Linked DNA regions of Stegostoma tigrinum. The protein of the gene in region 1 interacts with the protein of each later gene in a biochemical or structural test. Links are inferred from orthologs where the notes say so. Each region holds a gene or a part of one and is shown in the gene's direction. Other genes may lie near its edges.

Region 1 (15,432 bases):
AGAGGCGGCGCCGATACAGTCATCAATGTAACGGAGGAAGAGGTGGGGTTTGGGGCCTGTATAGGTGTGGAAGAGGGACTGTTCCACGTAACCTACAAAGAGGCAGGCATAGCTGGGGCCCATGCAGGTGCCCATGGCCACCCCCTTAGTCTGTAGGAAGTGGGAGGAATGGAAAGAGTAGTTGTTGAGGGTGAGGACGAGTTCGGCTAGGCGAAAGTCCTGTGAATGCTACATGCTACTTATCAGCCCAAGCTTAAATGTTGCCCAGTTCCGTCGCAAGTGAGCATAGACTGCTTCAGTGTTAAAGGAGTTAAAAATAGTACCAAACATTGTGCAACTGAAAATGACAGGATCTTGGAGGTTATATTGAGGAACTCCAGCTGTGAAGTACTAGGGAATTCAACAAACACAAACTTAGCAAAAGATCATTTTTTCCCGCTTCCCATTGATGTCAGTTTCGCATTTTCTGATGTCACTTTGGATCAAATTACGTGCAGCCATTCTCACCTCACTTCTGGAATTCAATGCCCTTGTCCATATTTGGGCCAAAACTGTAATAAGATCTGGTTCTGAGTGGTCCTGGTGTAACCCAGGCTTCAGTGAACAGACTATTGATGAGTAATTACCATTTAATTGAATCATAGAGTCATTGCATCCCTACAGTGTGGAAACAGGCCCTTCAGCTCAACACATCCACACCAACCCTCAGAACATCCCACCCAAACCTATCCTGCTATAACCCACCTAATCTACACATCCCTGAACTCTATGGGCAATTTAGCACAGCCAATCCACCTCATCTACACATCTTTGGACTGTGGGAGGAAACCAGTGCACCTGGAAGAAACCCACACAAACACGGGGAGAATGTGCAAACTCCACACAGACAGTCACCCGAGGGTGGAATTGAACCCGGGTCCCTGGTGCTGTGAGACAGCAGCGATAACCCATTCTCAATGACATCTTCCATCACAGCTAATCAAGAGTAGATTGATGGGTGATAATTGACCAGATTAAATTTTTCCATCTTTTTGTGAGCAGGGCATTTCAGAGCATGTTTCTACATTGATGGGTAGATGTCAGTATAATAGTTATGAAGGAACAGCTTGGCCAGAGATTCAAATAGATCTGCAATTCAGAACCATAGTGCTGCTTCTTGGCTGTGTTCAGGTCTCATAGCCTTTGCTGAATCCAACGCCTTCAATGTTTCTTGGAGTGAATCGAATAGGATGAAGACTGTGATACTGTGATTGGAGCTGAATCAGTCACTCAGCACTTCTGGCTGGAGATGGTCATAACTGCCATTGCTGAAATTTGCATAAGAATCACCAACTGTGCCCAAAGTAGCATTTTGTTCTTGTACTTAGGGCTGCACAGCCCATATAGTAAGTATAATGGGCAGGTATGTACTAAAGTATGAACATTTACAGAACAAGCGCAGAATTAGGCTAAATGTCACCTTAAGCCTGCTCCCTCACTCTTTTCTTTATAACCAGAAGTGCTCTCACACCCAACCAAATATAGTTATCCACCACCAAATCACCTGTGGCAAATTTCACCTATGAGGCAAGGAAATCAACCCCAAGTCCTCCAATATCTCCTCGCAGCTACAATTCTCCAGCCTTGGCAACATTTCGTTAAATCTTCTCCACACTCTCTTCAGAACAATTATGTCCTTCCTGTAATGTGGTGACCAGAACTATTCACAATACTCCAGTTGTGGCCTCACCAGTGTCTTATGCAGTTTCATACCCTATTTTTGTATTCTGTACCTCTGCCAAAGAGGAGAGCATTCCATTTGTCCTCTTTACAACCTTACTTACCTGTATTCCTATCATCAAGGACCTATGTATTTGCATGCCAAAATCTCTCACTTTATCTACCCAGTATATTCCCATTTATTGTGCATTCCATTTTACTGTTGACCTCCCTAAATGCATTACCTCACACTTAACACTCCATTTGCCATTTTCCTCTCCACTCCACCAAACCACATCATTTTAGAGCTTACGGCTGTCCTCTACACCATCCACTACAACGCCACTTGCAAATTTTCCAAGTGCACACCTTTCAAGTCCAAATCGTCAATGCATAAAACAAACAGCAGGGCTCCCAACACCAAATCCTGTGGAACACCACTTCAAACAGCTATCCATTCACAAGAGCAGCCACCGACCATGACCTTTTGTTTCCGGTTACACCAACGTTGGATCCAAATCAACACATTACCCTCCATCCCATGGGCTTTTACTTCTTTGATCAGTCTGCCATGTGGGACCTTGCTAAATGCCTTACTAAAATCCATTTAAACAACATCGACTGCATTACCCTCATCAATCCTCCTTTTCACTTCCTCAAAAACTTCAAACAATTTTGTACAGCATGACCTGCCTTTAGCAAAGCCATCCTGACTATCCCTGACTAGTCCATGCCTTTCCAACTGACAATTTATTCAACATTTCAGGCTTGATTCTAACAATTTTCCCACCACCCAGGTAAGACTAACTGGCTATTATTGTTCGGCAATGTTTTTGTACTCAAACAACGGAATCACATTTGCATTCCTCTTGGCCTCCTGCACCTCAACTATGTCTAATGAAGTCTGTAAAATAACTCTCAAAGCATTTGCTATTTCCTCCCTCTTCTCCTTCAACATTCAAGGGAATAGTCCTGGTAACTTCCTCTTTCATTATGCTCACTTGAGGGGTGTCATAATTGAGGTATACAAAATTGTGAGGGCTAGAGATAGAGTAGACCTGATTTTCTTGGTAGAGATTTCAAAAACCAGGGTGAAATAACTCCACAGAGGCCGGTATTCTGTCAACCAAGTCAACCTTTACTTATAGGCGTACAGCACATGAAACTGATCTAGCTCCCTCAGAGTCACCTCACAGAGTGAACAAAATCTCTGCCCCTTCTATTTATATCTGTCAGCCAGGTCTCACTGAATGGACCAGATTAACAGCCCCAATTGGGGAACTCGTATTCTATGAGGTCCTTTATTACAATCACTACACGGGGTTATAGATTCAATCTAAGTGGCAGAAGGATTAAAGGGGTCGTGAGGAAAAACATTTTGATGCAGAGGGTGGTGGGTGTCTGGAATTTACAGCTTGACTTGGTGGTGGAAGCAGAGACTCTTTTTAAAAGCATTTGGATCTGTACCTTAAGTGTTGTAAGCTGCAGAGCTACGGAATGACGGGATAGAAAGGACATCTGAGTGTCTTTGTTTTGGCATGGACAAGATGGACTGGATAGCCCCCTCTATGCTGTAAAATTTCGATCGTTCAGTTGTAACCAGCACCAGTAAATTACCCATGTTTCCAACTGTTGGCTTTACATGCAGAACCCATTAAGGGCAATGCAACAGCACCAAGGAGGGGGCTAAATCAAAATGGCATCGGAGGCGGAGAGAAGGAATTACCCCTGTAGTTCCTACCACTGTCTAAAGGCATCAAGAGTGTTGGTGTGCACCATGTGCTCCCTTTCAAACACCTGGGCAGAACATAGCCAAGGAAAAGGAGCCGGCAATTGGTAACTCTGACCTCCTCCACTGTCCCCTCATTCAATAAGATAGTTGCACATCACCTCCCGATCCTCCCTATTCTGATCATAGTGTAAGGACTTACATATAAAAGTATAAAAATGATACAGTTGATTGTGAAACTAGGATCTTGAATCTGAACAGAGTTATGAGGGGCAATTTGGAATATCATTGAGGTTACTCAGCTCAGCTCCAGGACATCTCTGCAGGAGTTCCTCAGGGCAGTGTCCCGGGCCAACCGTCTTCAGCTGCTTCATCAATGACCTTCCCTCCATTATAAGGTCAGAAGTGGCGATGTTCACTGATGACTGCGCATTGTCAGATAAATTACACAAAGAATTGTGGATGATGGAGATCTGAAACAAACAAAAGCAGAAATTGCTGAAGGAACTCAGCAGGTCTGGCAACATCTGTAGAGAAAAAACAGAGTTAACATTTTGAGTCTGGGGCTCCTTCATCAAAACTGCTCAACAACATCAATAACTTCTCATTTGCTGAAACAGTCCATGTCCAAATGCAGAAAGACATGGATAGCATATGGGTTGACAAGTGGCAAGTAACATTCAAAACCTCCACAAGTGCAGGAAATGATAATCCCTAACAAGAGAGAATCTAACCATTGTCCCTTGACCTTGATGTTCAATGGCATTACCATTGCTGAATCTCCCACTATCATTATACTGAAGGTTAACATTGACTAGAAACAGAACTGGACGAGCCACGTAAATGCAGTGTTTACAACAGCAGGTCAGAGATTAACAATTCTGCATTGAGTAATTCACCTCCTGACTCTCCAAAATGTCCACTACCTGCAAAGCACAAGTCAGGAGTATCATATTCCCACTTGAATGGATGGGCACGGCTCCAACAACACTCAAGAAGCATGACACCATCCAGCCTGCTTGATTGGTACCACGTTTTCCACCTTCGATACGCACTCCCTTCACCACTGAGGCAGCAGTGTACTTCATCAACAAGACATACTGTACTAACTCACTAAAGGTCTTTTGACAGCACCTCCCAAGCCAATGGCCTCTGCCACTTAGAAGGACAAGGGCAGCAGATATATGGGTACATCTCTGCAACCACTTCCTCTAACACTTCCTCTAAGACGCTGCACCTCTTGGTTATTTGCTGCCATTTCATTCCACTAGCAGCATATAACAATGAAAGCTACATAACCTATTTAGATATTCCTTGGTAATTTCCTCTCACTCCATTTCATCAAATCCTGATCATCATTGACTGTTTGTTAAAACCCTCCCAGTCCTTAACTAACAATTCTTTTTGACTACATTGTTTACGTTCCTTTTTAAAATCTAGTATCACCATTAGTTGTATCAAATGTGCTTGTTTAAGCCCTGTGGGGAAAGTATGAACAGTGACCAGGGGTAATACTGGGTGAGTGTGTGAAGGTGGTCTGTACTTGAAGAATGAGCATTTAACAGCAGGCAGATAACTGATACTTTGTGTAATAGACTCTAGATTCAGAAATGATTGTTCCTGTGACGATTTTTAAACCTTCACTCAGAGTGGAGTGATGGTGCATGTGTGGAATACTGAATCAAAAGAGAAGTCAGGAATAACACGGGGAATAAATAAGAAAGAAGCAGGGAGGATGTTTCCGTTTGCGGGTGAAATTAGAACTAGGAGGGCACAGTGCTAAAATAAGGGGGATCGGATTTAGGACTAAGTTGAGGAGGAACTTCTTCACCTGTAGCATTGTGAATCTGTGGAATTTCCTGCCCAGTGAAGAAGTTGAGGCCACCTTGTTGATTGTTTTTAAGGCAAAGATAGACTTTTGAACAATAGAAGATAGGGTGGCATGGTGGTTAGCGCTGCTGCTTCACAGTACCAGGGAGCTGGGTTCAATTCTACCTTTGGGTGACTTTCTGTGCGGAGCTTGTGTGTTGTCCCTGTGACCGCTTGGGTTTCCTCCCACAATCCAAAGGTTTGCAAGGCTGTGCTAAATTGCCTGTTGTGTTCAGGGATGTGTAGGTTAGGTGGGTGTGGGTGGGATGCTTTGAGGTTTGATGTGGACTTGTTGGGCCAAAGGGCCTGCTTCCACACTGTAGGGATTCTATGATTCCAGGATAAGGGTTATGGTGAGCAGGCATATAAGTGGAGCTGAGTTCTACAAAAAAAAAGCTATGATTCAAAAAATGATCTTCATGAATGGCAAAGAAGGCTTGCAGGGCCTTATGCTGTTTTGGCGCATCTCTGGAGTAGCTGGGATTTGAACACAAGCCTCCTGGCCCAGAGATATGGACACTACAATTGTGCCACAAATGTCTTAAATCAAATTCAGATACCACCATGTGCTGTGGCAGTATCTGAACCCAAGTCCCAGGGACATTAGAAACAAAAGCATAAATTATTGGAGAAACTCAGCAAGTCTGGCAATAGATGTGGAGAGGGAAACCGCGAACCTTCTTCAGAACCACAATCGCTGTTTTAGTTTCACTTTTCCAGCATTTGTAGTTCTTCGTTTTATCCCAAGAACATTACCTAGGTCTCTGGATTATATTATGTCCAGCAATCATAACACGACTCAGCATGTCCTCCAACCCCCAAAACACGTGGAAATCATTTGTCAGCTTGTCCAGCAGTGTCTGAAGGGCTGTTGTGGGGCAGCTGGTAGCGCCCGTCCCTGTGAATTAGGAGGTCCAGGTTCAAGTCTCACATGCTCCCGATATGTTTCCTAACATCCCTGAACAGGTTGTTTAGCAAATATCTACATTCGGGCTAATAAAATGTGAGGCTGGATGAACACAGCAGGCCAAGCAGCATCTCAGGAGCACAAAAGCTGACGTTTTGGGCCTAGACCGTTCATCAGAGAGGGGGATGGGGAGAGGGAACTGGAATAAGTAGGGAGAGAGGGGGATTCGGGCCGAAGATGGAGAGTAAAGAAGATAGGTGGAGAGAGTATAGGTGGGGAGGTAGGGAGGGGATAGGTCAGTCCAGGGAAGACGGACAGGTCAAGGAGGTGGGATGAGGTTAGTAGGTGGATGGGGGTGCGGCTTGGGGTGGGAGGAAGGGATGGGTGAGAGGAAGAACCGGTTAGGGAGGCAGAGACAGGTTGGACTGGTTTTGGGATGCAGTGGGTGGGGGGGAAGAGCTGGGCTGGTTGTGTGGTGCAGTGGGGGGAGGGGACGAACTGGGCTGGTTTAGGGATGCAGTAGGGGAAGGGGAGATTTTGAAACTGGTGAAGTCCACATTGATACCATATGGCTGCAGGGTTCCCAGGCGGAATATGAGTTGCTGTTCCTGCAACCTTCGGGTGGCATCATTGTGGCAGTGCAGGAGGCCCATGATGGACATGTCATCTAGAGAATGGGAGGGGGAGTGGAAATGGTTTGTGACTGGGAGGTGCAGTTGTTTGTTGCGAACTGAGCGGAGGTGTTCTGCAAAGCGGTCCCCAAGCCTCCGCTTGGTTTCCCGAATGTAGAGGAAGCCGCACCGGATACAGTGGATGCAGTATACCACATTGGCAGACTGCTTAATGTGGAATGTCATCTTGGGGCCTGGGATAGGGGTGAGGGAGGAGGTGTGGGGACAAGTGTAGGATTTCCTGCGGTTGCAGGGGAAGGTGCTGGGTGTGGTGGGGTTGGAGGGCAGTGTGGAGCGAACAAGGGAGTCACGGAGAGAGTGGTCTCTCCGGAAAGCAGACAGGGGTGGGGATGGAAAAATGTCTTGGGTGGTGGGGTCGGATTGTAAATGGCGGAAGTGTCGGAGGATGATGCGTTGTATCCGGAGGTTTGTGGGGTGGTGTGTGAGAACGAGGGGGATCCTCTTTGGGCAGTTGTGGCGGGGGCGGGGTGTGAGGGATGTGTTGCGGGAAATACGGGAGACGCGGTCAAGGGCGTTCTCGATCACTGTGGGGGAAAGTTGCGGTCCTTAAAGAACTTGGACATCTGGGATGTGCGGGAGTGGAATGTCTTATCGTGGGAGCAGATGCGGCGGAGGCGGAGGAATTGAGAATAGGGGATGGAATTTTTGCAGGTGGGTCGGTGGGAGGAGGTGTATTCTAGGTAGCTGTGGGAGTCGGTGGGCTTGAAATGGACATCAGTTACAAGCTGGTTGCCTGAGATGGAGACTGAGAGGTCCAGGAAGGTGAGGGATGTGCTGGAGATGGCCCAGGTGAACTGAAGTTTGGGGTGGAAGGTGTTGGTGAAGTGGATGAACTGTTCGAGCTCCTCTGGGGAGCAAGAGGCGGTGCCGATACAGTCATCAATGTACCGGAGGAAGAGGTGGGGTTTGGGGCCCGTGTAGGTGCGGAAGAGGGACTGTTCCACGTAACCTACAAAGAGGCAGGCATAGCTGGGGCCCATGCGGGTGCCCATGGCCACCCCCTTAGTCTGTAGGAAGTGGGAGGAGTCAAAAGAGAAGTTGTTGAGTGTGAGGACGAGTTCAGCTAGGCGGATGAGAGTGTCGGTGGAGGGGGACTGGTCGGGCCTGCGGGACAGGAAGAAGCGGAGGGCCTTGAGGCCATCTCCAGGCGGAATGCAGGTGTACAGGGACTGGACATCCATGGTCAATATGAGGTGTTAGGGGCCAGGGAATTGGAAGTCCTGGAGGAGGTGGAGGGTGTGGGTGGTGTCACGGACGTAGGTGGGGAGTTCCTGGACCAAAGGGGAGAAAATGGAGTCCAGATAGGTGGAGATGTGTTCGGTGGGGCAGGAGCAGGCTGAGATGATGGGTCGACCAGGGCAGGCAGGTTTGTGGATTTTGGGAAGGAGATAGAAACGGGCCGTGCGGGGTTGGGGAACAATGAGGTTGGAGGCTGTGGGTGGGAGGTCCCCTGAGGTGATGAGGTCGTGAATGGTGTTGGAGATGATGGTTTGGTGCTCGGGTGTGGGGTCATGATCGAGGAGGCGGTAGGAGGTCGTGTCGGAGAGTTGGCATCTGGCCTCGGCGATGTAGAGGTCAGTGCGCCATACTACCACCGCGCCACCCTTGTCTGCGGGTTTGATGGTGAGGTTGGGGTTGGAGCGGAGGGAGCGGAGGGCTGCCCGTTCTGCGGGGGAGAGGTTGGAGTGGGTGAGAGGGGTGGAGAGGTTGAGGCGGTTAATGTCTCGACGGCAGTTGGAGATGAAGAGGTCGAGGGAGGGTAGGAGGCCTGGGGGTAGTGTCCAGGAGGAGACTACATTCGGGCTCCTGGTTGCAGCGTGGGAATGTCCCTGCCTCTGGCTCCCATCTGCGTTATAACAATTCTACACAGGTTGATCAGGAAACTGTCTGGAGCAGGATCCGAACCTGGTGCCTGGAACGGGGTGTCTTGTGACTTTGTGGTAGTGGCCCTACCTCTGGGCTGGGAGGTACGCCTGTTGTGTAGTGACATCACTGAACAGGTTGACCACGAAGCTGGTGGCGACAGCGGGTCCCTGGAGCGGTGCGGTGCAGCTTGCAGCTCCTGCGCCGCGGCAGCAGGGGGCGGTGTTGAGCCGCCCTGGCTGGCTCAGTGCTGGAGGCTGGGGCTCTGACGCTGCGGCTCCTACCGGGCGGAGCTCCTGCCAGTGATAAAGAGCGAGGGTTCGGTGCTGGGCTCCTCTCAGTCACTCTCCGCCTCCGTCACACCTACACTTTCTGCAATTTATTTGATTTTGTGGCGGGTGGGGGTGAGAGTGATTTTTTTTATTTTGTGCGTTTTCTATCCTTTTTGTTGTTTGGGGGGTGGGTGGGTTGGGGTTTTGGGGGGGGGGGGGGGGGGGTGGTGGGTGCGATTGCAATAAAATGGCCGATGCAGAGGGAGACGGTGGAGAGACAGTCAATCGGTTCGCTCGCCAGGGAGCCCTGCGACAGAAGAACGTGTGTGAGGTGAAGGATCACAAGTTCACCGCCCGCTTCTTCAAACAGCCGACCTTCTGCAGCCACTGCACTGACTTCATCTGGTGAGTGAGTGAGAGAGGGAGTGAAGGGGAGAGAGAGAGAGGGGATTTACCCCCTCCCCTCCACACTGCCTTGCACAAACTCCAGTGCCATCCCCACCCTGCCCCAAAACATCAGGACAATCAAAACTTATCCCCAAACTCTCCCTGTGCAAACTTTCTCTCTCTCTCTGTCTCTCCTGATCAGATTGCTGAACTGCTTTTGCTGTCTCTCACTCTCATCCCCTCCCACTTTTGAGCTTTGCGCTGTGCTGTTTCCGAATTCCCTTTTTTCTCTCTCTTCCCCCCCCCCCCCCCCGCCCCCGTCCTCTCTTTAAATTGTTCTCTCTGGTTTCCTGATCCTCCTATTTTGTTTCATAATTCTTGTGACGTCTCGTTCTGTTTGTATTTCCTGATGTTCCTCCTGTTTTCTTGATCCCAGTGTGGGTTTTATTATTTTTGCCCCTCTCCCTCTAACGCCCGTGTTCTCTGTTTTGTTGCAGGGGCTTCGGGAAACAAGGATTCCAGTGTCAAGGTATTGGAAAGTGAATGTGTCTGTGGCTGGAGCGGGAGCTGTTTGATTTCCTCTGAGTCTGGGTTCCTGCGCCTGAACGATATATATATATATTTTTTAAAAAAAAGTTGTCAGTGATAACCAGAGAGAAAGAGCGAGCAAAAAAAACATACGAGAAGCGGAATGCTATCATTTGAAATGAACAAGTGCGAGTAGTGATCCCTTAGGCTGGGACCTGGCCTGGAATGTGTCCAGTGACGAGTTCGCCACTTAGTTTCAGTTTGAAAATGATGCCGAAATTCTCTCTTTCCCGCTCTGGCGACGTGGCGAGAATGAGGAAGTCCCAACTTCATGGCTTTACAGTAAAAGCTCTTTCCCCGCTGTGGCTGCTCATTGTTGGTTGGGTTAGTGTGTGACAGCTGGGTCCACTGCCAGTCACTGGTTCAACATTTGCATTTGCTCCTTATCCTGAGAGGTTTTTGGAGTGAGTGTGGACTGTCAGTTTACCCACTGCCTCACCGATACACGCGTTTCTCTATAGTTCTCCTGACTTCACTATGCGACCGAGTAAGGTTTACTTTCACTGGGTTACTCTCTAGAAAGTGAAGGTGTGTCAGGGCTGTTTGTATTGTATTAGCTCTTCTACACCCATCTCTGCTCGGAGACAGGCAGTGTTAGAGAGTGACATGTCCATCATGGGCCTCCTGCAGTGCCACAATGATGCCACCCGAAGGTTGCAGGAACAGCAACTCATATTCCGCTTGGGAACCCTGCAGCCCAATGGAATCAATGTGGACTTCACCAGCTTCAAAATCTCCCCTTCCCCCACTGCATCCCAAAACCAGCCCAGCCTGTCTCTGCCTCCCTAACCTGTTCTTCCTCTCACCCATCCCTTCCTCCCACCCCAAGCCGCACCTCCATTTCCTACCTACTAACCTCATCCCACCTCCTTGACCTGTCCGTCTTCCCTGGACTGACCTATCCCCTCCCTACCTCCCCACCTATACTCTCCTCTCCACCTATCTTCTTTTCTCTCCATCTTCGGTCCACCTCCCCCTCTCTCCCTATTTATTCCAGAACCCTCACCCCATCCCCCTCGGGTCTAGGCCCGAAACGTCAGCTTTTGTGCTCCTGAGATGCTGCTTGGCCTGCTGTGTTCATCCAGCTTCACACTATTATCTAGTGTTAGAGAGTGCAGTGTCTCCAACCCAGTGTGGATGATTTACATCTATTTATTAGGGCCTTTCTAGAAACATTCAAGTTTCCACCTCACGTTGTGCTCTGACTGCAGAAGTCAATGTGCACTCCCCTTCAGGCAGTCCACGCTGCAGCCCCTGTTTTTGTTAATCTTGTATTGAGAATGGGAATTAGGATGTCACGTTGTGGCTGTACAGCACATTGGCTAGGCCACATTTGGAATACTGCATGTCCTTCTGGTCTCCCTGCTATAGGAAAGATGTGGTGAAACCTCAAAAGGTTCAGAAAAGATTTACAAGGATGTTGCCAGGATTGGAGGGTTTGAGCTACAGGGAGAAGCTGAGTAGGCCAGGGGTCTTGTCCCTGGAGTGTTGGTGGTTGAGGGGTGGCCTTATCGAGATTTATAAAATCACAAGGGGCATGAACAGGGTGAATAGCCAGGGTCTTTTCTCCAGGGTAGCGGAGTCCAAAATTATAGGGCACTTGTTTAAAGTGAGGGGGCAAAATTTACAAGGAACCCAAGGGGTGACTTTTTCACGCAGAGGATGACGTGTGTATGGAATGAGCTGCCAGAGGAAGTTGTGGAGACTGGTACAATTACAGCATTTAAAAAGCAACTGAATGAGTACATGCATAGGACAAGTTTAGAGGAATATGGGCCAAATGATGGCAAATGGGACTGGATTAATTTCGGATATCTGGTTGGCATGGACAAGTTGGATTGAAAAATCTGTTTCCGTGCCATACACCTCTATGATTCTAAACTGAGGACAAGAAATAGAAATGCCCTGAGATCACCTCAGGCTCACCGTTAGCAATATGAATTGTTCCATTGCTTTTCTGCGTGACTGGAGCTCTGAGCTTGCATTTGATTGCTAGTGCCTAACAGCTGTCCCTTCCTGCTTTTCCTTTGTTTCTTAAAAAAAAGAAAATGTCTCAGAACCTTACCACTTTTTTTTGCAGCCACGTGGGGTGTTTTGCTCAGAAGGATACTCCTTCCATATTAGCAATAGCCACTGTTGCTCACATGGATACCTCTGTATCCAGTTGTTGCCAGCACCTTTTTGTCCTGACTGCTACATCCACATACTGCAGACCCTCTGCGTCGATGGAGAATCTCCAAACTTGTTCTCAAGTTCAATCTTAGCTACGCTTCTGCTTCCACGTCGAAGGAATGCATTTCCAGGCATAAACATGGCTTGTTTCGTTGCTGTTGATAGTATCTGAAACTCATGTTCTTGAAGGACCTCAGCCCAATCCTTGACTGTTGTAATATTCCAACCTTCATTTATTTGTGTGTTTGTAAACTTGTAATTTCTGTTTGAGGTTGCAAGTCACATTCGTCTGCTGAACTGGTTGCTTCATTGTTGGGAGCCTCTGGCAGCTCTGTGTCTCAAAATTATAATGAAAATGCAAGTTTCTGTTTGAGTAGAAATTTGTTTTTTCCACGGAATTTTACCCACTGGGGGTGTAACAGTGGTTATTGCCAACATGGAGGGAGTTTACAGGCAGGCGTGTTAAATTACTGTTTCCCTTTTTTTAATTTGATGTTATGAAAATTGATTATTTTTCATGCCCTCTGAGCTTCTCCAAGTTGCAAGTCAGCTGTGTGCTAATGGCCCACAGTTTACCTACAGTGCTCAGTGAAGCAGATGCTGCTCCTCAGTGTTCACAGAGCAGCTTTGATCTCTTGCTTCCTGCTGTTGATAAAACAGCCACATCGAGTGGCCAGTCTGTCCCAGGCAAGAGTGCAATGTGAGAGGTACATCCTTGTAGTTTAAAGTGTTGACAGCTCAGTTACACCCTGAAGCTGCTCACTGAGTGCTCTGGGCGGAATCTCCAAGTGTGGGTTCATTTTCTTTCTTAAATTAAAAAGGACTGGATTTAAAATTGGAATTTCTAGAAACGCTTAGTGGTATTATCACCAGACTATTGATCCAGAGACCCCCGGTAATGTTCTGGGGACCCAGGTTTGAATCCTGCCACGTCAGATGGCAGAATTTGAGTTCAATACCGATCTGGAATTAGGTTTGAATGATTAACATGAAACAATGTCAATTATTGGAAAAACACATCTTGTTCACGAATGTTCTTTTAGGGATTGAAGCTACCATCCTTAGCTGGTCTGGCCTACGTGTGATTCCAGACTCCCATCAATATGGTTGAGTCTGAACTGCCGTTTGGGCAATATATTGGTGATGCCCTCATTGTGTAAATGAATCAAAAAGACAACAAGGTGTGGAGCTAGATGAACACAGCAGGCCAAGCAGCATCAGAGGAGCAGGAAGGCTGATGTTTCGGGCAGAGACCCTTCTTTAGAAAATTTTCTGATACTGCTTGGCCTGTTGTGTTCATCCAGCTCTACACCTTGTTATCTCAGATTCTCTAGCATCTGCAGTTCCTACCACCTCTGATTTCTGGAACGTGTAGATCTCAGAGCTATGACCATGAGTCTTGACTATGTTAAAATGGTGGTCCCTAGATTTTGGTGCAGTTTGAGCAGATATGACATGTGGCAGAAGAGTGAAGTTGAAGGGGAAGTTTGGCTGTCGGTTGAATGAATGATGAGCCTGATTTGAGGGGACTGTCTCCTGTTTTATGGGGAAAACATCAGAGTGACTGTTGTTCCGTTGAATGAACCCGTCTTCCTGAACTGCTTCCTGGCCAGTGTGCCGGCTTTTTGCTGCAGCCCTTGCTCTCCTTTATGCTGCTGTATAAAGATGGGCAAGAGTGGGATGATGGTGGCCTAGTGGGGGAATGTCGTCAGTTTAGTAACTAAGTCTTATAACTGCCAGATTGTACAGTGATTCTGTTTGTGGTACACCCTCCCTTCTGTTGCAGTGAGGGGTTGGTGGAATCACGGCCATTCTCTTTTTTTTTGTTGCTTGGAATTCGGAGGAGGGGTGAACGCTGAGCTACCTGGTCAGTTACTTAAGCCCAACATGCAGGTCCTCCTGTACCCCTTTTGAGTTACAAGCTCTGAGTCATGCAGTAGAAACTCTTACTAGTATGTAATACGCATAGAGACTCCAGGAAGTCTCAGTGCTGTTTATGACAGATGATAACATTTTTAAAGTGCATTTGCAGTTGTTGTGAGACAGCTAATTAGTACACAGCAATCCACCACCAACAGTAATCTCTGAATATTGAATCAGGGATAACTCTTGACCAGGTCAAACCTCCCCTCTTTTGAAATATGGAATTTTATTACACTAACCTGAGAGAACAGATGAAATTACTGTTTCATATCACATCCAAAAAAAGCAGTGCTACTGACACTGCAGCTATCCCTCAGTGCTGCACACACACCGTGTTGACCCTGATTGGGTACGCCAATCTGAGACATTTGAAACAACGACTGTCTTATCTCCGAGGTGAGAAGGCTACCGACTGAACATTGCCTGACACTGCTGTGGTTACTCAAACACCCAAAACAAGAGCAGGCATGCCTCGCTGTGAGCTTGCTGTGCACCCACAAAAAACTCCAGGCAACACACTCTCCTCTTGGGCCGCGAAGAAAAACGCTGCAGTCAGCATCTTCGGGGTGGGGCTTAGCAGGCACTGTTTAAGTCATCATTGTTTATTTAAATGGGTGGAGACTCCCTGAGGATATGGTTCTGGTGCCATCAGACAATTAAAACAGAAGTCTGAAAGACCACAGTAACCACGACATCCTTTGACCCCGGTTAATTCTGCTGAAGATGAAATAAAGCAAAGAACTGCAGATGCTGGAGACCTAAACAAACCAAAACAGAAATTGTTGGATAAACTCAGCAGGTCTGGCAGTATCTGTGGAACAAAAGCACAGTTAACATTTCACGTTGGCAATTCTTCACCAGAGCTGTCAGTAACTGGGAAGAGGTGGCATTTATGATAAATTTGAGGTTGAGTACGGGCAAAAAGGTGGAGACAGAGCCTAGAGACAGTGAGAGATATGAATGGAGACAGTAAACAAGGAGATTGTGGATGGTAGGCTCGGACGGAAGAAAAGCTGAATAAGTGATAATGAGAGTTAGAAAATGGGTTAGCTGTGTTGAATGCAACCTATATTACATGATATACTTCGGGAATGGGTGACTGCGCTCAAAGCAGTCCATGTGGTAACAGGACCAGGTGTGCAGTGGGTTAAAAACTATGGAACAATGGAATTAGGTTTTTAGGTTAATGAACTATTGAGTCCTGGAGGCTGCAGGGTCCCCAAGTGGAAAATAAGGTGTTGTTCTTTGAGCTTGCATTGAGGCTTGCTGGATAATTGCAACAAAGCCTGTGACAGGAATGTTGGCCTGGGAACTTAGTGGTGCAGACAACTG
Region 2 (15,620 bases), on another chromosome or scaffold:
TGGATTAGGGAGTATTAGCTATAAGATGAAGCTAGAAAAACTCAGGTGGTTTTCTCTTGAGCAGCGCAGGCTGAGGGGAGGTTTGGTAGAAGTCTATAACATTATGAAATGCATTGATAAGGTTGACGGTCAGAATCTTTTTCCCAGAGTTGAGATTGGGGAACAAATATGTAGGCAGATAAAAAGGTGCAACAAAAACAGAGTTGTCATCATATATGACTTTAACTTCCCTGGTATTGACAGGAAATTCCACAGAGCAAGAGACTTAGATGGGGCAGATTTTACTAAGTGCATCCAAGAAGATTTCTTGAAACAGTATGTGAATAGTCCGATTCGAGGACAGGCCACATTGGGCCTTGAATTGGCTAATGAGCCTGGCCAGATGATTGACTTTTCAGAGTATTTTGGTAATAGTGATCACAGCTCCTTAAATTTTAAGATAGCTGTGAACAAGGATAAATCAGAATCTTGTGGAAAGGTACTACATTGGGGAAGACCAAATTATGTCAGTATTATGCAGGAGCTAGGGAGGAGCTGTTAACAGGCAAGTCCACATTTGACATATTGGAAGTGGTTAAAGACCTGCTGGGGAAAGTTCAAGACCGGCATGTTTGAATAAGGAGGAAGGACAAGGGTGGCAAGGTCAGGGACCCTTGGATAATGAGGGAAATTGTGAATTTAGTCAAAAGGAGAAAAGAAGCAAATGTAAAGTTTAGGAAGCTAAACCTGGACTAGGCCTGTGAGCAATATAAGGAAAGCACTGAAACTGGGAATTAGGAGAGCAAGAAGGGGCCACGAAATGACCTTAGCAAGTACAGTTAAAGAGAATCCCAAGGTATTCTTTAGCAATATTAAAATCAAGAGGATAACTAGGGAGAAGGTAGGGCCACTCTAAGATAAAGGAGGGAGCTTGTGCTTGAAGGGAGAGAATGTGAGTCATGTCTTAAATGAGTACTTTGCGTCAGTATTCACCCAGGAAAAAGATATGGTGGATAGTGAGATTTGTATGGAGCATGTTAAAATTCTACGGCATTTTGAGATCAAGAAAGAAGTGGTGTTGGATCCCTTGAAGAGCATTAATGTGGATAAGTCCCCAGGCCCCAACAATATCTACTCCAGGCTATTTAGAGAGGTAAGAGAGGAGATTGCTGGGGCCATGACCAAGATCTTTGTATCCTTGCTAGTCACTGGACAGGTCCAGAGGACTAAGAGTAGCTAATGTTGTTCCTCTGTTCAAGAGGGGGAATAGGAATAATCCATGAAACAACAGACCAATGAGTCTCACATTGATGATTGAGTAGCTATTGGAGAGAAAACTTAAAGATAGGATTTTTGTGCATTTGGAAAAGCATGAGCTAATTAGAGTTAGTTAGCATGGCTTTGTGCAGCGCAGGTCTTGTCTTACCAAATTGATTGAATTTTTCAAGGTGATGATGAAGGTGATTGTTGAGAGTAGATCAGTGGATGTTGACGACGTGGACTTTAGTAAGACTTTCATGGTAGGTTGATCCAGAAGGTTAAGATGCATGGGATCCACAGTGACTTGGCCGCATGGATTCAGAATTGGCTTGCCCATAGAAGACAGAAGGTAGTGGTGGAAGGATGTTTTTCAGCCTAGATGTTTTTCAGCCTAGAGGTCTGGACTAGTGGTGTTCCACAGAGATCCATACTGGAACCTCTGCTGTTTGTGATATATATAAACTACTTGGATGAAAATGCAGATAGGTAGGTTAGTAAGTTTGCAGATGACACAAAAATTGGTGTATTTGTGGATAGCATAGAAGCTTATCAAAGGATACAGTGGGATATAAATCAGTTACAGATATGGGTGGTGAAATGACAGATGGAGTTCAATCCAGATATGTGTGAGGTGCTGCACTTTGGGAAATCAAATGTTAAGGAAACAATTAATGGCAGGACTGTGAACAGCATTGATATACAGAAGGATCTTAAGGTTCAAGTCTATAACTCCTGAAAGTAGCCATGGAAGTAGATAGGGTGGTAAAGAAAGGCATACGGCATGCCTGCCTTTATTGATTGGGGAATTGAGTCCAAAAATCAGTTTGTCATGTTGCAACTTTGTAAGACTTTGGTTAGACCAAACTTACAGTATTGCATTCAATTCTGGTCGCCACATTACAGGAAGGATGTGGAGGCTGTGGAGAGTGTGCAGAAAAGGTTTATCAGAATACTGCCTGGATTAGTGGGGTATGAGCTGTAAGGAGAGGTTGGAAAAACTTGGGTTGTTTTGTATCGAGCAATGCAGGCTGAGGGGAGACTTGATAGAAGTCTATAAAATTATGAAATGGATAGATAGGGTTGACAGGCAGAATCTTTTCCCCAGAGTTGAATGTCCAATACCAGGTGATATGCATTTAGGTTAGAGGGGGAAGGTTCAAAGTAGATATGAGGGGCAAGTTTTTAATTACACAGACAGTGGTAGGGGTCTAGATCGAGCTGCCAGAGGTGGTGGTGATACAATACAGGTATTTAAGGGACTTTTGGATAAGCACATGAATATGCAAAGAATGACGAGATATGGACAAATGACAGGCAGAAGGGTTCAATTTCATTTAGCATCATGATCGGTATAACATTGTGGGCAGAACGGCCTGTTCTGTACTGTATAGTTCTAAGTTCTCATCAATAGTGATTCATGCATTGCACAAATAGGTTTGTTGTAAATGCCACAAAGTATTATATGATATCCTACTTTTCACTGCTTTTTGGGAGGGTATCTGCTTCATACCAATTTGCTTTTAAGGTTTAATTTCCAGTGACAGAAGTCAGGTTGCGCCCACTTGCCAGATAAACCTTGGTTTTTAATTTTCACCCAGGACCATCTTTTGGATTTCAGGTTACTCTATGGAATAGTTACATACAAAAAAAAACACTTACATACAAAACTTAGTAAATTTATCCTGTCACAGCAATGGCATCTGATACTGAAGGGCTTAACAGTATTAATAGGAACTGAAACCCCAGCAAATAGCAAATTGTCACTCACAGAAAAGGAAACAAATACAAGGATAGACATGGGCTTGATTTCTGCAAAACAAGAGGCATTTTCTACCTGTATATTCTGTGTCTCAAAATAGTGACCGTGTTTATAAACAGTGCCTTTGCAATTTTACTACACAAAGCAGACAAGAGAAAATCTCCTTTCTGGAAGCTAATATTTGAATAACGGCAACATTATAAAAGGAATTGTAGCTTTATTCTGGGTAGAAGCTCTGTTTACATGCTCAGTTGTTCAGCCGTGGTGACATCAGATTCACATGGAATTGGGGCTTGGGTCTTTAGGCTCTTAAATGTCCCTGCTTACCATCCTTTATACATAGTTCATTGAAACCTGTTGCTGTTTACTTACAGTAATGTAGATCTCATTTTATGTCTAAACATGAAATAAAAGTAAAAAATACTGGAAATACCAGGTCTGGCAGCAGCTTGGAGAGTAAGTTATTGTTTCATGTTTTGGGGTCACATTTGCTGATGAGAAATAATCAAAAGTGGCATGGTGGCCACATTCAGATCAGCCATGATCTTACTGAATGGCAGAACAGACTTTTTTGAAGATTTAAATAGCACAAGTAGCTAATTGGCCTTGAGTGGCATCTGTTATTCAATAATATCATACTGGCCTGTTCATATTTTGAATTTCATGTTTCAATCTCCACCAATCAATTTCTGTCTCAAATATATTCAACGAGCCCACTTCTACCTCCTTTCAGGGTATTATGTTCCAAAGTTGTGCAACTCTCAGAAAACAAGAATCTCATCATCTGTCCTAAAAGAACAACTTCTAATGTTATGATAGTGCTCCTAGTTCTGAACTCAACAGGAAACATCCTTTCCACATGTGCCTTATCAAGGCCATTCAGGATCTTATACACTTCAATCAAATCACCCCACGTTCTTTCTAATTTCAGTAAAAACAAGTCCGGTTTGTGAAATACTTCCTCATAAGACAACCTCCTCATTCCAGGTAACAAAGGTAAAAGTAGGCAAAGTTACCAAAGTATCAGAGGACATCAAGGCTGCTCTGTTATTAGAGAAAGAGAGAGACAACTGCTGGTGGTTTAACCTGAGGGTTGCTGTGCCTCAGATGAGGGGAAAGGTTGAGAAGGAGAGTCCTTCATGGTGATCTCAGCTGCTGTGGACATGGAACCCATGTTATTGGTCTCACTCTGCATCACAAAATAACCATCTAGCCAACTGAGCTAACCGACACTCTTCTAAACCTCCTCTCAATCACATCTAGTGCATTTACATCCTTTCTTAAATTAGGAGCCCATACTGCAAGCAAGATGTTACTTCACTAGATTAATCCCAGAGGCAGCAGGCTTCTCTCATGAAGACAGATTGAGCAATTTGGGCTTAAACTCACAAGAATTTAGAATGAGATCTGATGCAATATATGTTAAAGAGGACTGACAATGCCGATGCAAGTTTCCCCTGTTGGGGAAATCTGGAATGAGAAATCAGAGGTTTAGAGCAAGAGGGTGAGAGATCTAAAACGGATATGAGGAGGAATTAAGTCGCTCATGAATCCGTGGAATTCACCATCCCAGAGTGCAGTGGACACCAGCACACTGAATAAGTTTGAGGAGGAGATCGATGGATTTTTAATTAGTAACAAGTTAAAGGGATGCAGGTGGGGAACTGGAGTTGGAACCAAGATGAAATTGACAATGAATGTATTAAAAGGCAGAGCAGGATCAGGGGGCTAAATGGCTTACTTCTACACTGAGGTTCTAACAATGAGTTTTTAAAATTTTCTGCAATTACTTTTGCTACAGCACCTGGGAGGTTGGCTTTGCTTGGGTTGTTTCCTTTGGAGTAGAGAATGTTGACGGGAGATCTGACAGAGGTGTACAAAATTGGGCAGCAGGGACAGGGTGAATAAAAAGCAGCTGTTCCCTTTAGTCAAAGGGCAAGAACACAGGTACACAGCTTTAAAGCGAAAGGAAGGATGGTTAGAGGGAATTTGAGGGAAATCTTTTCACTTGGATTGTGGCAAGTGTCTGGAATGTACTGCGAGGGAATAGTCGAGGCAGGTGACCCCAAAACCTTTAAAAGATACTTGGACGAACATTTGAAGTGGCATAATATTCAAGCTATGGGCCCAGTGGGCAAAGTCGGATGAGTGTAGGTAGTGAGTATATACTGCTTTGGCCGTACAGACCCAATGGACAGAAGGGCCTCTTCCTTCTGAATGATTCTAAATATGTTCTGAAAATACAAGTATGCTACATCTAGAGGTTCATCTTTGACCACAGCACTTGTTATTCCTTCAGTCGTCTAATAATGATTTTTCCTTTACAAAACTATGCTGACTCATCCTGTTTACTTTCAGTTTTTTTTCCCAAAAACGCACCCTCAACCTCTTTATTGATGAATTCTAACACCATTCCCACAATAGATCAGAAGACAAGGGGCGTGGAGTTACTGTCTTCTGCTTCCCTCCCTTTTTGCACAGATGGGTTATACATGTTTTTTTCAATCCTAAACCTTTTCTTGCAGGCATCATTTTGATGTGTCTATGATTTACTTGCTTACTTACTGGGACTCGTTTTTCACTAATAATGAGACACGATTTATCATGAGAGGTTGTTTATTATTGTTGAAACACAAGATATATACTTGTAATTCTATAAAACCAAATGTCCATCTAAAGGCCTGAGTAGACTTACATTTCTTAAAAGACTATGTGCACACCAGTTTACTATCTTTTGCTTCCTAAAAGAGGGTTTAAAGAAGTTTGTACTACCCTGACTACAGCTGGACGACCTGAAGTGGAGGCTGCCCTTCTCGCTCCCAAGGTTCCAACTCCTTGTGCTAATGTTGTCTGTAGAGTGTCTGATTTGAGTTGTCCCTTTAAGTAGTTTTCTAGGTCATCCCCAAGTACAGTGGCTTCCTATCATTCACTTTGTTGGCAGGGTAACTGACATGCAGATTCATCCTATGTAATTACAGCAGTTTGATACAGCAATGTAGTAACATCATTCATGTAAATGAAATTCTGTCCCAGGAAAAGGTGTTACAAGAGGACTTTGTAACTTCCCTACTGACTGAAATCGATCCTAGGAGCCAGGCTGTCTCAAGAACAGCTCTACCAAAACTCCGATTTTCATTCAATCCAAGATTTCATAGCATTGAATAAGTGTTGATAAGATCAAGGTAAATATCTTGTACATTGTCTGGCCTGATCCAATTTGACAGTGAATTCTGCAAGCTTATTGGCTTTGTTTCTTTCCCAGCATGCCATTCAATTAGCCAATGTTGCTTTTAGTGTGCCAAAAGGGCTATTATTTTGTTTAAAAGGGACATTCCACTGCATACATTCTGATGCCTAGAATACATTGCCAGAAGAGATGGTAGAGACTGATGCAATAGCTATACTTAAGCAGCATCCCGACAGATATGAAGGAGAGGGACAGGGACTGCATTGAAGCAAAAGACCTACTTACAAAGCCATAATATTTTAATGCAGTCTTGGCGGGCTGAATTGCCTGTTATTTGTTCTAACCTGCACCTGTCCAAATAACTGAAAATCACCAGTTTTAAAGCCATTTTAGATAACAGTTCCTCCATTCCTTCTCAGCTCTTGCAATCTTTTCTAAAGTGGGATGCATAGAATGGAACTAAATATTTCAGCTTTGGCCAACTAAAAATTCCATAAGATTTTAGCATTAACTCTACTAATGAAGTCAAAAATCTTAAATGCTTTTATTCGCATTCTTAGCTTGACCTGCTATCTCATCCAGATTTGTGTAACACACCCCAAGTATCTCCTTCAGAACTGTACTATCTGTTCAGATTGTCCATTGCATTTTTCCTACAAGATTCCTCATTTCACACTTTTTCATCATTAGCCACCCTTAAGATTCGGGTAAGGCACTTCTGGAACTACCACAATGTACATGAACAACTGCTTCCACTGTGATGGTGGGTTTGCACATTTTCCTCATGTTTTGCGTGGGTTTCCTCCACAGTCCAAAGATGTGCAGGCTAGGTGGATTGGCCAGGCTAAATTGCTTGTAGTTTTCAGGGGTGTGTGGGTTATAGGGGGATGGGTCTGGGTGGGATGGTTCAAGGGGCGGTGTGGACTTGTTGGGCCGAAGGGCCTGTTTCCACACTGTAGGGAATCTAATCTAAACAACTCCAGGAATCTAACCAAGACACAATAATAGAACAGCGATAGACTTCCAAGTTAGGATGGTGTGTGGGGTTCAGAGGTGTTGCCAGAAGTCTGCTGATCCTTGTCCTTCTCGGTGGTACAAGTCACAATGGCAGAGCGTGCTGCTTCAGAAACCTTGGTATTACAAAGCAACAAAGATTTTCAGTAAAAACGTATTTCCTTTTTGAGCAGATATAACACAGTGTGGAGCTGGAAGAACACAGCAGGACAGGCATCAGAGGGGCAGGAAAGTTGAAGTTTTGGGTCAAGACCCTTCTTCAGAAATGGGGGGAGGGAGATGGGGTTGGGGAAGGTAGGTGGGATGGTGATAGGTGAGTGCAGGTAGGGAGTGGTCAGTAAGGTGGGAGGGGATATGGGCAAGTTGTGTTAGGTCAAGGAGGCAGGGATGAGAGGGAGAGTTGGTTATGGGATGAGGCCTGGGGTGGGGAGATTTTGAAACGAATAAAGTCCACATTGAGAGCGTTGGGTTGTAGGCTGTCGAGGAGGAATATGAGGTGCTGCTCCTCCAGTTTTTTGGTGGCATCACTGTGACACTGGAGGACGCCCAGGACGGACATGTCACCCTGGGAGGGGGAGTTGAAGTGGTTCACGATTGGGAAGTATTGTCATTTGTCACGAACAGAGCACACGTCCTTTACAAAGCGGTCTCCGATCCTCTGCTTTTTCTTTTTTGTAAAACTTTTTTGGAAATTAAAGCACAGAGTTAGTAAAGCAGTTAAACTCATTAACTTTAAGACAACATTAAAAACATTTGAGATAACAAAGTATAGAACTGGATGAAAACAACAGGCCAAGCAGCATCAGGGCAGCAGGAAATTTGCTCACTAAGGTAGCGATATTGATTGACCAGCAAGGCAGGGAAGGCACACTGCTTAATCATAAAACAAATATTTTGACCTCCTACCAGAACAATCACCCTGGAGTTCGGAACAAATGCTTATCATTATCGATAATAAAAAAAGGACTGCTTGGGCAAATGATTAACAAGTTAAAACAAAAAAAACTGAAACTGAAAGGGGTAAACAATCTGCGCAAACGCACTAGCTTCTTTGCTTCGGACGGAAGTTCATGACCTAAGGAGGGAACTTTTGCTTCTGTGTCCACAGGTACAGCGGGAGTTGTTTCAATTCAGAAATGTGAGTGTGTGTGGAAGAAGTCTGATATACCCGGGGGGTAGTTAATGAGGAGGTTACTGGGTGGACTTGGGCAAGGCGGCTCACTCGGGGAACTTTCACGTTGATGTCTGCACGCCGTGAGAGCCGCAGCACTGAGTGCGGTTTAGTCCCAGTTCCTCACAGCCGCAGAGACTTTCCTCCTTTCGCTCCGTGTCCGGGAAAAGAGTCGTCTTCCACGTGACAGGAGAGGAAGTCGCGCAGGCTCAAAGGGGACACTTTGTATCCCTTCATGTATCCGTTCGGGTTGCAATTTGAAACCAGTCTCTGCTGCAGCACAACTTTAATTGTGTTAGATCCGACGCCGCGGCCTCCTGTTACAGCACCGCATAAACCCTTCCAATAGTTCCCTATTAACTCCACAAATATTTATCTCCTTAACATGCTTTGTTCGCGATTCTGGGGGGAGGGGGTGTTATTCAGTATCTTTCACGCAGCTATTTTCCTCATTTGTAAGTGATTCTGTTGACAGGCCCAAAATAAAGCGCACTGCTGCTTTAAGGGAAAATGATGCTGCAGATAAATGCGCTTGATCTCTTCTGCGTCCCAGAACATTATAAAAGCCGTGCCACCGAATGATTCACAGTCTAAGGGCTTCTCTGTACACCTCTGCTGACTGACATATCAATGCACGGGTACACTCTGCTGACAGGAGGATCCTCCTGGAGTACATTCACTAGTCACCATGCAGTGCTGTAAACAGGCTAATCTCTGACTAGTGAACATAGTCCAGGTGGATATTTTACCTGACATTACTGGTACTAGTCTGTTTCACTTCAGTGAAACATTAGTCAGTGGGGTTTTATGGAGATGTCCTTTGACTACCAATTATCTGTTCGTTGAAGAATGTTAAAATGAAATGCTTTGGGATGTGTAAGAGGGTGTGTACTTTACACAACAGTACTTGTCCCTGTAGGGCTGCTCTTTAAAGAGTTTGCAGCACACGTGTACAGAAGATAGACAGCGTGAGCAGTTTAAATGTTGCGTACTGTTCTTTGTTTATGCAACTACTGTTTTATATTAAAATTAATCACTTACATGGTCAGGAGAATCCTGAGATTCTACTACAGTCGGTAAGTTTTTTTTGAGAACTCTTTAGTGTTTAGAAAACACCGTTTATGTAGGTCGCTTTGCAGAACTGGATGTTTGTGATTGTATCTGATTGCTCTCCCATCACGTTATTTTAGAAATAGTTCATATCAATATGACTCTAATGAAACAATTTCTTATACTGTTGCTTTTTAAAATTTGACTTTTTTAGGAGAAGGCAAAAGAACACAACGTGTAGTCAAATAAAGTTGTTAACAGCAGCATTTTAGTGATGGAGATCAAAGAACATACTTTTCGATGCAGCAATTACATTTGGCTTCTTCCCTCTGCATGTTTCCCCACAGCTACTGTTGAGGCATCAATCCACACACTGACAGCTATTTTTGTGAGTCTGCACTGCGACTTTTGGACTGCATCTGATCTAGGCCCTGTACATTTGCTGGCAGCTGACATGATTTCCGCTCTCTGCCTCCGAATTTGAATTTTGGGGTGCCGGTTAGAGCTTGCACACTGGACTGCTCGGAACCAACGCACAAAGCATTAAAATGAGGGGAGGTGATGGCCTAGTGGTCTTAGTGCCTGACTATTCATCTGGAGACCCAGGTAATGACCTGGGTAACTGACTTCAAATCTTATCATGGCAGACGGTGGAATTTGTATTCAAAAAAAGAGAAATATGGAATTTCAACGTCTAATTTGACCATGAGACCATTGCTGATCAACAGAAAAAGTCATTTGATTCACTAAAGCCTTTTCGGGTTGGAAACTACAATCCTTAGCTGGTTTGGCCTACATGTGACTCTAGACCCATTGCAATGTGTTGATTCTCAACTGCCCTCTGAGCAATTAGAGATGGGCAATGAATGCTGGTCCAGCCAGTGATGCCCACATCCTGTGAACTAAAAAAAATCTGATCATCGGTTCAGAATTTTATGGTCTGAGGAGCCCAGATAATAGAAAAGATCTGATTGGTCGGTCAGATCTCCCCGAACTTTGACTGATTTTTGCTTACCTGCCCTGACGATGCTCCATGTGGCTTATGTCATTTTTCTTTTCTCTGGCCCTGCTCCTGTGAAAAGCCGTGCAATTGTTTACCATGTTAAAGGCACTGTATAAATGCAAACTTTTGTTATAGAGTAGGCCTCTCATTTGTCATGAGCTTATTGTGCAGTAAAGTGCCTTATAATTGGAATTTTTGTTGAGCTGACATTAATTACAGATTGTAGAGCATACTTTATGGCACTGTTCACACATTGGTATGTAAGTTGAAATAAAACAGACTATAATTAAGGGATTCAAAAAGGAAAGAGGGATACACAGAGTGTAATTTTATTTTCAAGATACACTTAGAAATACAATTACTTTGAAGAGAAGCGAATGTATGCATATTAGTGGATAAATCCCGTGACCTGATTAGATGTACCCTGGAACTCTGTGGGAAGCTAGGGAAATGATTGCTGGGCCCCTTGCTGAGATATTTGTACCATCGATAGCCAAACTCCAGTCTTCCATCACCTCGCTTGTGGCTAACATGGTGCCACTATTTAAGAAAAGTGATAAGGAAAAGCCAGGGAACTATAGACTAGTGAGCCTGACATCAGTGGTGGGCAAGTCATTGGAGGGAATCCTGAGAGACAGGATTCACATGTACTTGGAAAAGCAGGGACTGATTAGAGATAGTCAACATGGAATTGTGCATTGGAAATTATGTCTCAAGAACTTGATTGAATTTTTTGAAGAAGTAAAAAAGAGGATTGATGAGCACAGAGCAGTGGACGTGATCTATATGGACTTCAGCAAGGATTTCAACAAAATTCCACACGGTAGACTGGTTAACAAGGTTAGATCCCATGGAATGCGGGAGAGAACTAGCCATTTGGATACAGAACTGGCTCAAAGGTAGAAGACAGAGGGTGGTGGAAGGTTGCTTTTCAGACTGGAGACCGGTGACCAGTGGTGTGCCATAAGGATTGGTGCTGGGCCTACTGGTTTTTGCCACTTGTATAAAAGATTTGGATGTGAACATAGGAGGTATGGTTAATAGAGATAATGGGAACTCCAGATGCTGGAGAATCTGAGATAACAAAGTGTTGAGCTGGATGAACACAGCTGGCCAAGCAGCATGTTAAGACCATAAAAGCTGATGTTTTGGGCCTAGACATTTCATCAGAAAAGGGGGAGAGGATTCTGAAATAAATAGGGAGAGAGGGGGAGGTGGATCGAAGATGAATAGAGGACAAGATAGGTGGAGAGGAGACAGACAAGTTAAAGAGGCAGGGATGGACCCAGTAGAAGTGAGTTTAGGTGGGGAGGTAGGGAGGAGATAGGTCAGTCTGGGGAGGACGGACAGGTCAAGGGGGTGGGATGAGGTTAGTAGGTAGGGAACGGAGGTGGCTTGAGGTGGGAGGAGGGGATAGTTGAGAGGAAGAACAGGTTAGGGAGGCGGGGACAAGCTGGGCTGGTTTTGGGATGCAGTGCGGGGAGGGGAGATTTTGAAGCTGGTGAAGTCCACATTGATACCATTGGGTTGCAGGGTTCCCAAGTGGACTATGAGTTGCCGTTCCTGCAACTTTCGGGTGGCATCATTGTGGCACTGCAGGAGACCCAGGATGGACATGTCATCTAAAGAATGGGAGGGGAAGTTGAAATGGTTCGCAATTGGGCGGTGCAGTTGTTTATTGCAAACCGAGTGTAGGTGTTCTGCAAAGCGGTCCCCAAGCCTCCGCTTGGTTTCCCCGACGTAGAGGAGACCACAACGTGTACAGTGGATGCAGTATACCACATTAGCAGATGGGCAGATGAACATCTGCTTGATGTGTAAAGTCTTCTTGGGGCCTGGGATGGGGGTGAGAGAGGAGGTGTGGGGGCAGGTGTAGCACTTCCAGCGGTTGCATGGGAAAGTGCCGGGTGTGCTGGGGCTGGAGGGGAGTGTGGAGTGGACAAGGGAATCACGGAGAGAGTGGGCCCTCTGGAAGGCAGATAAGGGTGGGGAGGGAAAAATGTATTTGGTGGGGTCGGATGGTGGAAGTGTCGGAGGATGATGCGTTGGATCCGGAGGTTGGTGGGGTGGTACGTGAGGATGAGGGGTTTGTGTTTTGGCGGTTATTGCGGGGACAGAGTTTGAGCAATGAGTTGCGGGAAATGTGGGAGACACGGTTCAGGGCATTCTCGACCACTGTGGGAGGGGGAGGGATGTTGCAGTCCTTGAAGAACGAGGACATCTGGAATGTACGGGAGTGCAATGCCTCATCCTGGGAGCAGATACAGCCGAGGCGAAGGAATTGGGAATAGGGGATGGAATTTTTGCAGGAGGGTGGGTGGGGGGAGGTGTATTCTAGGTAGCTGTGGGAGTCGGTGGGCTTGAAATGGATATCGGTTTCGAGGTGATTGCCTGATATGGAGACAGAGGGGTCCAGGAACGTGAGGGATGTGTTGGAGATGGTCCAGGTGAACTGAAGGTTGGGGTGGAAGGTGTTGGTGAAGTGGATGAACTGTTCAAGTTCCTTGTGGGAGCATGAGGTGGCGCCGATACAGTCATCAATGTGTCGGAGGAAGAGGTGGGGCTTGGGGCCTGTGTAGGTGCGGAAGAGGGATTGTTCCACGTAACCTACAGAGAGGCAGGCATAGCTTGGGCCCATGCAGGTACCCATGGCCACCCCCTTTGTATGTAGGAAGTGGGAGGAATCGACAGAGACTGTAGGAAGTGGTTAATAGGTAGGTATGGTTAATACTTCTGCAGAAGACACCAAAATTGGAGGTGTGGTGGACAGTGCGGAAGGTTATCTCAGAGGACAACGGGACCTTGATCAGATGGGCCAATGGACCAAGGAGCAACAGATGGAGTTTAATTTAGATAAATGTGAGGCGCTGCATTTTGGAAAGGCAAATCAGGGCAGGACTTATATACTTACTGGTAAGGTCCTGGGGAGTGTTGCTAGGCAAAGAAACCTTGGAGTGCAGGTTCATAGCTTCCTCAAAGTGAAGTCCCAGGTCAACAAGTTAATGAAGAAGGCATTTGGTATGCTTGCTTTTGTTGTTCAGTGCATTGAGTATAGGAGTTGGGAGGTCATGCTGCGGCTGTACAGCACATCGATTAGGCTTGTTTAAAATTCTGTATACAATTCCGATCTCCTTGCTATAGGATGGATGTTGTGAAACTTGAAAGGTTTCAGGAAAAATTTATGAGAATGTTGCTCGGATTGGAGTGTTTAAGCTATAGGGAGTGGCTGAATAGACTGGGGTAATGTTTCCTGGAGCATCAGAGGCTGATGGGTAACCTTTCAAAGGTTTATAAAATCATGAGGATCATGGATAGGGTGAATATCGAAGGTCTTTACCCCGTGATGGGGGAGTCCAAGACGAGAGAGCATAAGTTTAAGGTGAGAAGGGAAAGATTTGAAAGGGACCTGAGGAACAACTGATTCATGTAGAAGGCGTTGTGTGCATGGAATGAGCTGCCAGAGGAAGTGGTGGAGGCTGGTACAATTACAATATTTAAAAGACATACGGTGGGAATATTAATAGGAAGGCTTTAGAGGGATATGGGCCAAATATTGGCAATTGGGACGACATTAATTTAGGATATCTGGTCAGTATGGATGGGTTGGGCCTCTAGGTCTGTTTCCAAGCTTTACAGCTGTATGACTGTATGTATTTGCTTCAGTCTCTTCTGTACCATGCACCATATTCTTCCAAAGAAGGTATTCTGACCAGGCTACAAGGAGTTTTGCCACAAGCGTGGGCTCGCCCCCACAACTAGCTGTGTTGGCCCTTGATCCAGAAAAGGAACTATCAAAATACTAGCAGGAGCAGGCTATTCAGCCTTTCGAGCCTGACTTGTTATTCAGTATGATCATTGCTGAACCTCCAACTCAGTACCGTGTTCCCATTTTCATCTCATACTTTTTGATCTCTTCAGCCCTAAGAACCGTATCTAACTCATTGACAAATTTCAATGTTTTGGCCCCAACCACTTTCTGTGGCAGAGAATTTCATGGGCTCACTACTATCCGAGTGCAGAAATTTCTCCATATCTCAGTTATTAAAGGCCTGTCGCATTTCTTCGACTGTGACCCACGTTTCTGGATTCCCTGTCATCGGGAACATGCTTCCTGCCTTTGCCCTGTTTGGTCCTATTAGAATTTTATAGATTTCTGTGAGAGCTCGCCTCATTCTTCTAAACTCCTGTGTGTATAATCCTAAAAAATCCAACCTCTCTTTATATCATGCCAGGAATCAGTCTCCTCCTTGCACTCCCTCCATCGCCAGAACATCCCTTTCTCAGATAAGGCCACGAAAACTGCACACACAACTTCAGTTGTGGTCTCACCATCGCCCTGTACGATTGTGGCAAGACTGCTCTGCTCCAGTACTCAAATCGTCATGCAATGAAGTTCAACATACTATTTGCCTTTTTTGCCTCCTGCTGCATCTGCATGCTTAATTTATAGCGATAGGTGTATAAGGACATCTGGATATTGTTGCACATTTCCTTTTCCCAACTTAGCACCATTCAGATAACAATCTATTGTTCTGTTTTTGCCAACAAAGTGAATAGCCTCACATTTATCTATACAGTACTTCATTTGCCATGAGTTTGCGTACTTGCTCAACTTATTCACATCACGCAGAAGTATTTCTGTGTCTGCCTCACAGTTCACTCTCCCACCCAGCTTTGTGTTGATTGCAAACTTGGAGAGATTACTTTTAGTCTGTTTAACTCATTAATCTATGGTGAATAGCTGGAGTTTGACCTTGCCACTGTTATCTGAATACTCTAATATTAAATCTTTAACAATGGACTGTAGCGATTTTCCTAATACCGATGTCAGGCTAACCGGTCAATGATTCCCTATTTTCTCTCTACCTCTGTTTTTTTAAATAGTAGGGTTATGTTAACTACCCTCCAAGCCATAGTAATTGTTCCACGGTCTGTAGAATCTTCAAAGATGACCAATACTTCCACCGTTTCTAGGGCCACTTCTTTCGGCACTCTGGGTTGTAGATTATTGGGCTTTGGGGATTTATTGACCTTTAATCCCATCAATTTTCCCAACATCACTTCTCAACTAATACTGATGTCCTTCAATTCCCCCTTCTCACATGACCATTTATTCTCCAACATGTTGGCAAGTTATTTGCACCCTCCTTTATGAATACTAAACCAAGATATGCATGTAATTGATCTGTAATCTCCT

The links.
Region 2: of the proteins of protein kinase C alpha type (region 1) and mgmt, one has a biochemical effect on the other in vitro, tested with the Homo sapiens proteins (2 studies listed by BioGRID). The link is inferred for Stegostoma tigrinum from reciprocal best matches to the Homo sapiens genes PRKCA and MGMT.

What each region holds. Positions count from the first base shown.
Region 1 is NC_081375.1:8,920,242-8,935,673, forward strand, and holds the start of protein kinase C alpha type, read left to right. Parts: upstream 1-9,265; 5' UTR 9,266-9,277; coding exon 9,278-9,435; intron 9,436-9,914; coding exon 9,915-9,946; intron 9,947-15,432. UniProt on the Homo sapiens protein: Calcium-activated, phospholipid- and diacylglycerol (DAG)-dependent serine/threonine-protein kinase that is involved in positive and negative regulation of cell proliferation, apoptosis, differentiation, migration and adhesion, tumorigenesis, cardiac hypertrophy, angiogenesis, platelet function and inflammation, by directly phosphorylating targets such as RAF1, BCL2, CSPG4, TNNT2/CTNT, or activating signaling cascade involving MAPK1/3 (ERK1/2) and RAP1GAP.
Region 2 is NC_081373.1:34,860,968-34,876,587, forward strand, and holds the start of mgmt (methylated-DNA--protein-cysteine methyltransferase), read left to right. Parts: upstream 1-8,208; 5' UTR 8,209-8,307; exon of another isoform or gene 8,308-8,337; intron 8,338-15,620. UniProt on the Homo sapiens protein: Involved in the cellular defense against the biological effects of O6-methylguanine (O6-MeG) and O4-methylthymine (O4-MeT) in DNA. Repairs the methylated nucleobase in DNA by stoichiometrically transferring the methyl group to a cysteine residue in the enzyme.